2 linked regions of the Ovis aries genome follow. The protein of the gene in region 2 purifies or fractionates together with the protein of the main gene of each other region. This does not show direct contact. Links are inferred from orthologs where the notes say so. Each region holds a gene or a part of one and is shown on either strand. Other genes may lie near its edges.

Region 1 (3,815 bases), on a different chromosome or scaffold from region 2:
CTAAGGTTAATTAGATAAAGAAACAGTTGAAAAGGAAAAGAATATTCAGCACAATAGGAAGAAGGGAATCCAGGATTTATATTTCACCAGAGATAATACCTCTGTGGATTTGTTTTATGTTCTTAATGATTCAAACTTTGCCAACAAAGGTCCATCTAGTCAAGGCTATGGTTTTTCCAGTAGTCATGTATGGATGTGAGAGTTGGACTATAAAGAAAGCTGAGCACCGAAAAATTGATTCTTTTGAACTATGGTGTTGGAGAAGACTCTTGAGAGTCCCCTGGACTGCAAGGAGATCCAACCAGTCAATCCTAAAGGAAATCAGTCCTGAATATTCATTGGAAGAACTGATGCTGAAGCTGCAACTCCAATACTCTGGCCACCTGATGTGAAGAACTGACTCATTGGAAAAGACCCTGAGGCTGGGGAAGATTGAGGGCAGGGGAAGGGGACCACAGAGGATAAGATGGTTGGATGGCATCACTGACTCAATGGACATGAGTTTGAGTAAACTCCGGGAGTTGATGATGGACAAGGAAGCCTGGCAAGCTGCAGTCCATGGGGTCACAAAGAGCCGCACATGACTGAACGACTGAACTGAACTGAATGATCCAAGATAATGGAAGGAAACAAGAAGATGCATAATCCAAAAATAATTTCTATTTGATTTTGGAATATATTAGTTTTTTTTAAGCAGATTGAACTTTCTATTTTGCTTATGCTTCTATTTAACACTTTGCTACTGTTCAGCTGCTCAGTCATGTCCGACTCTGAGACCCCCGTGGACTGCAGCACATTCTGTTGACATCAGACTCTTAGATTCCCTTTTTTTTTTTTTTTTTACTGCTAAAACTATCTACAAGTGTGTATTCCCTATGTGGACAGCTGGGAGAGGAAAGGGGTGATTTGGGAACAATTTGAAAGAATGAATGGCAAGGAGAACTGGTCCAGTATGAGAAACAACCAACACAAACAGCACACAGGCAGTCAAAGGGTGATTATGTTAAGGTGACTACTTTGTAGCAGGATGACAAAGCACCTGGTTTTGGTTCTTTTCTTTTGTGCAAGGGGAGGCCAAAAATCCAAAGACTGAACACATACTTCATTAAACGCCTTGCCAGGAATGAGTTAAACTGACAATTTTCAAACTTTTTAAATGGAGATCCAGAATAAAAATGTGACATCTTGACCTAGCATCATATATACACATATGTGTGAAACAAAAGTTTCATGTAACAGTATTTCCCTTAATTACATGGTTACACACTCTGATGTTTCTATTCTGTTTCATTTCTTTTAAATGGTGATCACAATACACTAAAATTATATTATGTTCCAACAGTTACAATTCACAGACAACCCAGGAAGGGGAAATGGTAGGCTTCATCTTTATAGCCATCAGAGATGAAATATTATTTTTAAAAATTCACTAATAAAAAACAATGTAAGTTAAGTGCTCCCATGAATGGTATAGAAACTAAAGCAAGATAAAATCACAATAGTCTAAGATAGAGAAGATTTTTGTCCTAGAAGAGACAGGATGTGAGGCAGACCGTGAACAGTAGGTTAAAAAGTCAAGCTACAATGGAAGGGACACATTTGACTTCAAGAACAAGTGAAGGAAAGGCATGGCATATCAAGGGAACATTGAATTCCAATAGAAACTGTGTCTTTAAAGGATATAAATGGTCACTGAAGAAAATGACTTGAGTAGAGAAATCTTTCTCAGAGCATTTCCTTAACTGGAAACCTACAAAAACGTGACATGAAAGTGACTGCAAAGTAAAAAAAGACATTTGCTTGAAATTTATAGATACTGGACACAAGCACACTAGAATCAAGCCAGAAAGCATAAAGCTGCTAATCAAATCCCAGTAAGATGTAAACACTGAGATTCTTCTTCAGTTAAGCCCATTTTACTAATATATTAATATATTATTGCTAATTATCACAGCAGCTACCCATATTGAGTACCTACTAATACCTTGCAAGATCTGGTACATGCATTCTTTCTGTTGTCACAGTAGATACTTATCCATTTTATGGATAAGGAAATTGAGGTTCAGTTTGAAGGCCAAGTTTGTTTCACATGCCGCCTCTCCAAAAAAAACAATATTTTTCTTATTCAAAATAAATAAATCAAAACCCCAGAAAATACCAACCTGTTCTGAAGTAGATAAAGGAAGGGGCAAGGACCCCAGTTCCTTCAGTAATTCATTTGTTTCCTTGGCAAGCTGATTTGTAGAGTGTTGTAACTGTTGCCTAAGAGAGAAAAGATGTGCTTTAGGATATTCTCACTTCTTGAGAGCTGTTAGGATCAGTCTGGTCTCAGAGCATCTCAAGATGCAGGGAATGAAAAGGCACCTGAAGGAATGGGTTCCCAGATGCTCAGGTTCATAACAAAATTCCAAAAGTACCACCTAGTCAAACTCACTTCAAGTTGTCTTCACGTTACCGAGTAGAAAGAACCTACCTCAATGAAAACTGCTGATTAGGTATTTTAATTCTTTGGGGAGAAAAGAAAAGCATTCTCAGCAGTTCTGATAGAAATACAAAAGCAGCTGCCCCTACACCTCAATCTAATAGTTTTAACATGCTGAACTCTCTCTGAAAATTCTCACGCTGATTTGCCCAAGTTCTGCATGGTTACTGTCTGTCACAGTCCACTGACTAGTGACAGAATCCACGCACTGGGGGTTGGATGAAATGTGCATTAGAAGCATAGCTTCTACCCTAGGGAACAACCTCCGAAGATCAACTCCCACGTTTGTGCTTAAAGCTGGTGCTTTTTCAGCTTTATCCTTGGCTCCCTACCTATGCTTTATGCTTGACTTTCTGGCTCTTTCCTCCAAAACAAAGAAGCCCTATACTGTGTTAAAAAAAAAAGTAAGGAGCAGAGGGGAAAGGAAATTAAAGAGGGAAAAATGTGTGGGATTGAAAGGTACTGGAAATACAAAAAAGATTCCTTTCAGTCATGGTTTCTCCTACTATCTGGCCATTTCTGCAAAGGTTTTAAGGGAGGACAGAGAAACCACACTACTAATTACTAATATTTTTTCACTGCAAAGGGGTCTCCAAGATAGAAGGAAAAAGAAAAAAAGCAAAACCAAAAAAAATTTTTTAAACCATGAGAGTCAAAACCAACAGGGAGTCAAAAAACCAAAAAACAAAAATGGGAATTTCCTGGTGGTTCAGTGGTCCCCTCTTCCACCGAAGAGGGCACGGGTTCAATCCCTGCTTGGTGAACTAAGATCCAACCAGCCATATGGTATAGCAAAAAAAAATAACAACAATAAAATAAAAAACAAAAGCTCCCAAAAAGAGTCAATCCGAAGCTTGAGCATCATGGACAGTACTAACATACCCACAGCTACCTCACGTCTCCCTCAAAAAAGCTCAAAGTACTAACAGTAAGTGATTCTCTCACTTCCCAATGTCTAGGACAGGAAACAAAAATAGTGTTAACGATGAAAACTAGAACTTATAAGAGCAGAGACAGAGTCAAGGAGGACATAATAAAAAGAAGCTATTCCACTATTCTCTCCTCGGGTCATTCTGAATACACTTCTTTAATATTATATACAGCTGGAAATCCAACAGATTAGACAAGCACTGTAGATCATCAGGAGGCCTGTGCCAACAAGGAAGCTCATGTAGGGAGAATGCAGTTTAAGAGTGGTAGGGATTCCCTCTCTACTTCCCTAAATTGTTCTGCTAAGCAGTCCAAGGGAGGAAGAAAAGCAGAGTCTAAGGACTCTGAGAGGCAAGGGAGATCACAACCCTTTAATGTAGTCTGTTGCTCCTCTTCTAGATCC
Region 2 (4,391 bases):
CTCCTGCTTGGGTTCTAGAAGAGCTACACCTGTCCTGCCCAATATGGACGCCACATGTGACTGCCGAACTACACCAGCCTGACTGTGGCACTAAGTTTTAAATTTTAATTAATTTAAAATTTAAAACTGATACTCAAATGCACTTACCAAAAATTTTAAAAATATACTTGGAACAGTTTGGGTATGTGAATCTACTTTTTCAACTGTAAGTTTAACGGATTCTAAAAACAGATCAAGTGTCTCTGATGAAAATTCAGCATCCAAATTGAGATGTGCTGTAAGTGTAAAACACACACCAGATTTGAAGACAGCACAAAAAGGGTGAGAGTCTTCGTTAATAATCTTTATAATTATCATGTTGAAATATTTTGACTATATCAGGTTATCGATGACATTAAAATTAACTTTACATGTTTTTCACTTTCCCTGTGTCTACTAGGAAATGTAAAATGGCATGTGTGGCTCACACTGCATTCTGGAGAACACTCGTCCAACAAAACCAAGGCAGACGCAAGAGGAAAGAGACTGGAAGCAGGAAGACCAATTAGAAACTCTTCTTGATGAGTCCAGGAAAGACACCCAGGACTGAATCACCTAAGTGATACCCATCTTCAAAACCCAATTCAAGACCTGCTACTACGTCCAAAGCTTTTCCAATTGTAACCTGTCCTAATGGGATGCCTTTCTCCAAACTACTAGGGGACTTAATCATCTGTAGGATTCACTTCAGCACTTAACCATTTCCACCAGTCATTTCTACTTAATTATTGGGTGACTTGTTTCTCAGATTAGACTACCAGCTCCTAGGCTAAAGGTCACAATTTAGGCTTCTTTCATTTTTCCACATCATGCAGTGAGTGTATTTTCAAAACTTTTAATAAACAGAGGTACATGGCTCCCCATATATTTCACCACATTATCTGGAGACATGTAGTTAATTTTACTTCTCCATAGCAAAAGGTTTTAATATCTTAAAGATATGAGCTAAAACAATGTACAAGTCAAACAAGACTCCTGACCAATGTTCCAATAAAGCAGTGATATCTAATCAGTGAGCAAGCCCTGGCAAACTGTACTATCAGGAAAAAAAGTCAAGATGGCAGAGCAATTTAGCATTTTCACAAATTCCATTTTAAAATGAAACAAAAAATTTTGATTATCTACAGCCTCCACTGCCAGACATAACCTTTGAAACCTAAGAATTAAGAATGTTTAAAGGAAAAACACACAGCTTTCACATTTAAAAATTAACCCCTAAAAAAAAATCAATTCTTCTAATAACATTTTCCAGGTAGAGATCTATGTATTATTAATCATCTAAACTCAGATTTTCCCACCTAAAGTCAGGTAAAGGCAAAAATATTTAGGGAAATGTTAAAATATATATAAATGTATCTTACTGTATCATGGATAATAAAGTATTTCACCTAGAGTATCACTTAAATTTTCTTAGAAGAACCTTTAAAAAAAAAAAAATCACATACACCCTCAAGCAACTGGTCAGCTTTTACCCTTACAGAAATAGAAATAGGGAGCTAGGAACTAGCTGAAAGCAAAGCAGTACTTTAGGGTGATTAGCACTGATCTCTCAGGAACTTTGCAGTTCTCAAATTTTTAACGTGTTTGACATTTAAAACAAAAGTTGTAACAACAAGATCCATCTTCCCTGAATTTGTTTAATGGCTACAAAGCCTATGTAACAGAGTGCCAAGTTTCTGGGTATCTGCAAACAACTGAGCAATCAAAGATGGAGTCACGACAGCTCACAGAGAAAAATAAGTTTAAGGCTATTCGAGTCTGAAAGGCAGAGGAAGAAATGGGGGAAACCTGTCAAACAGCCTGGATGAAATCAGGGAGTTAAAAAGCAAGCGCTCATTTCCTTTAGCACTGTGGGAAAAACCCAGTGCTAACAGAAAGCTAAGGAAAGTTTAGTTTGGCTGATTTCATTTTGTTTTCCTTCCAACATCATCACTGAGTTTGAACGGCTGCTTTCCTCCCCTCCCATTACTCAGTAAAAACTCCCCCACTGAATTGAGTCGTCTTCCGGAGCCAGGCGCCCCCGCCTCCAAGCCTGCTAACGTGCTCAGACGCCTCTGGGCATGTTGTGGTCTCACCAGTCTGCGGGGCCAGCGCTCCGAACTCAATGGACAATAGGAGCTCACCCCCGTCTACGCCAACTACAAAGCTCAGGAGGGCCATTTCCCTTTTCCTGCCCAGATGCTGTTTTTCCCCCTTCGAAGCAGGGCCCCGTGCTCCACTAAAGCCCCAGTTTGGTCTGGGACGCCTAAGCTCCCTTCCCACCTGCAGAAATGCTGAACCCCTCCTCCCGTTCAAACAAGTTATAGGGCAGCGCACAGGCCAAAGGGGACCCCCTTCCCAGGGGCTTGACTGGGGGCGTGGGTTTCAAAGTTCAGGTAGGACGGGAAAGGGAGGTCTCTGGACACTTGATCATGGCCCTCCAGGCTAAGCCGTCCCCACTGTCCCCACGCCAGCCTCTACTTGCCTCCCATCCCCCCTACAACGAGGAGAGGCGGGGAGGTGCGGGCAGGCAGCACGGCCACCGCCTCTTCCAGTGGAGCCCTCGGCAACACTCACCCTTTCACCACAAAGAAGGGGTCCTCCATGGACATGGCGTCCCGGCCCCCGGCCGCCTCACGTTTGCTCCGCGCACAGGGCGCCCGCGCCCTCCAAATTTCCCTCTGCCCACCCTATGCGCCTCGCGTAGCGGCCCGCGCCTCGGCCTGAGGGTCCCGAAGCCTCTGCGCGCGCAGGGCGGGGTGCACCGGCCAGCCGCTGGTCCAGCACTCGATGGGCACTGCAGACCAAATCCAGACTCTGGAGCCGGCCCCGCGGCTGTACCCTCCCCCGACTCCTCCCGGAGCGTCCGGCCGCCTGGCTCCGCCCCCAGGTTCCTCAGCCTCGGCCAATCACGAACGCCATCCGCCGCACCACTTCCGCACCCGTGCACACGTGATCACTGCCGACCCCGCCCCTCGTTGCCGGGTCCTAGGCACCTTGTCACACGACCCTGGAGGCGGGGCTCTGGGGGCGGCGGAAGAGGGCGGGTATTCTCTCCACTCGCCCCTCAGGATTCAGGGGCCGGAGCTGCTTGTCCCTACGCGGGAAAGGCATTCAGGTGTCCTAGGTATGCATTAGTATCTCCTTTGCATAATTCTTTCACCTTTCCTCTACTTTTGATACTTGATTTTGAAAACATATTGATTTAGAAATCCATCTCGTCCTCCACTTACAATAAAGCCTGCTCGTATACATTATCTGACTATATTGCACAACTTTATGTAGGTCTTACTATATCCAACAATGCGCTGAAGGCTGTATGTACATCATCTCAATATTCTTGGGGGGAAGGTATTATTACCATTTAGTAGATGAGAAAAGTTCAAAGAGGCTTCGAGATACAACCTGGACAGGGCAATCAGAGAATCTGTGCACTTTCCACCAGACGGCTGTGTTTTCTATTGCTGTGTACCTTTCTCGAAGTGACCAGTAAGATAATTTTTTCATACAGCATGTGATGCTTCCCAGGAGAAAGAACTTTTGAGGGACAAAGGAGGGGCCAGATATGGCAACTTCTTCTGAGCTAAATGGTTCAAAAGCACTTCCCAAAAGTATTTTGGTCAGAACAGTTATCAAATTCATATGCTAGATATGCTATGGGGTTTGTGAACATTAATTGCTGATTATCTTTGAGCACTTCCTGTATGTCAGGCACTGTGCGAGTGTTATCTCAGTTGCTCTCAGGAGGTAATTACTGTTGTTATCCCCATTTTACAAATGAGAAATCTGAGACTCTTGCAGGTTAAGTGACTTGCTTAAAGTACCAGTCTTTTTGGAGATGGAAGAGTCCTTTGAACCAGACAAATCCTGTTTGAACCTGAGTTCTGTTATTCAGTCCCTCATCTATAAAGCGTGCACAATAATATTTAGCTTGTGGATCGTTGTGAGGGTTAAATAAAAATGCACGGAAACCCCAAGGCCCCAAGGAAGTAAGGCAGTGAAGTCAGGGAAACTAGTCTGGAAGCTGCTGTGGTCATCCAGCCTGAAGGGCTGAGGACCAGAATAGGACAGCAGAGCAATTGTAAATGGAGAGGAAGCAGACAATCTGATAGGTATTTCCAAGGAAAAACAAAAACACCTAGACGTGGTGAAAGGCTGAATGGGGTTAAGGGGGAGAGAGGTGAAAATCAGACTCCAGGCTTCTCTGAGACCCTGGAGGAGCAGCTGAAGGAGGTCAGATGTAGGGGAAAAGAAGCTGTTGGAAGAGAACTGTTTTGCTTCTGAACATATTGAGATGGGGAACTCAAAAGGGATCAATCATTTTTCATTCATTCAACAAACACATGGAAATTGCAGAGAAGATGAGAATAAAG

What was found.
Region 1: the proteins of STX6 (region 2) and STX12 purify together in Homo sapiens (affinity purification with mass spectrometry; 4 studies listed by BioGRID and IntAct, counting the BioPlex papers as one, with this or other methods). This does not show direct contact. The link is inferred for Ovis aries from reciprocal best matches to the Homo sapiens genes STX6 and STX12.

Annotation. Positions count from the first base shown.
Region 1 is NC_056055.1:239,301,209-239,305,023, forward strand, and holds part of STX12 (syntaxin-12), read right to left. Parts: intron 2,263-3,815; coding exon 2,163-2,262; intron 1-2,162. UniProt on the Homo sapiens protein: SNARE promoting fusion of transport vesicles with target membranes. Together with SNARE STX6, promotes movement of vesicles from endosomes to the cell membrane, and may therefore function in the endocytic recycling pathway.
Region 2 is NC_056065.1:61,535,884-61,540,274, forward strand, and holds the start of STX6 (syntaxin-6), read right to left. Parts: upstream 2,858-4,391; 5' UTR 2,631-2,857; coding exon 2,596-2,630; intron 1-2,595. UniProt on the Homo sapiens protein: SNARE promoting movement of transport vesicles to target membranes. Targets endosomes to the trans-Golgi network, and may therefore function in retrograde trafficking.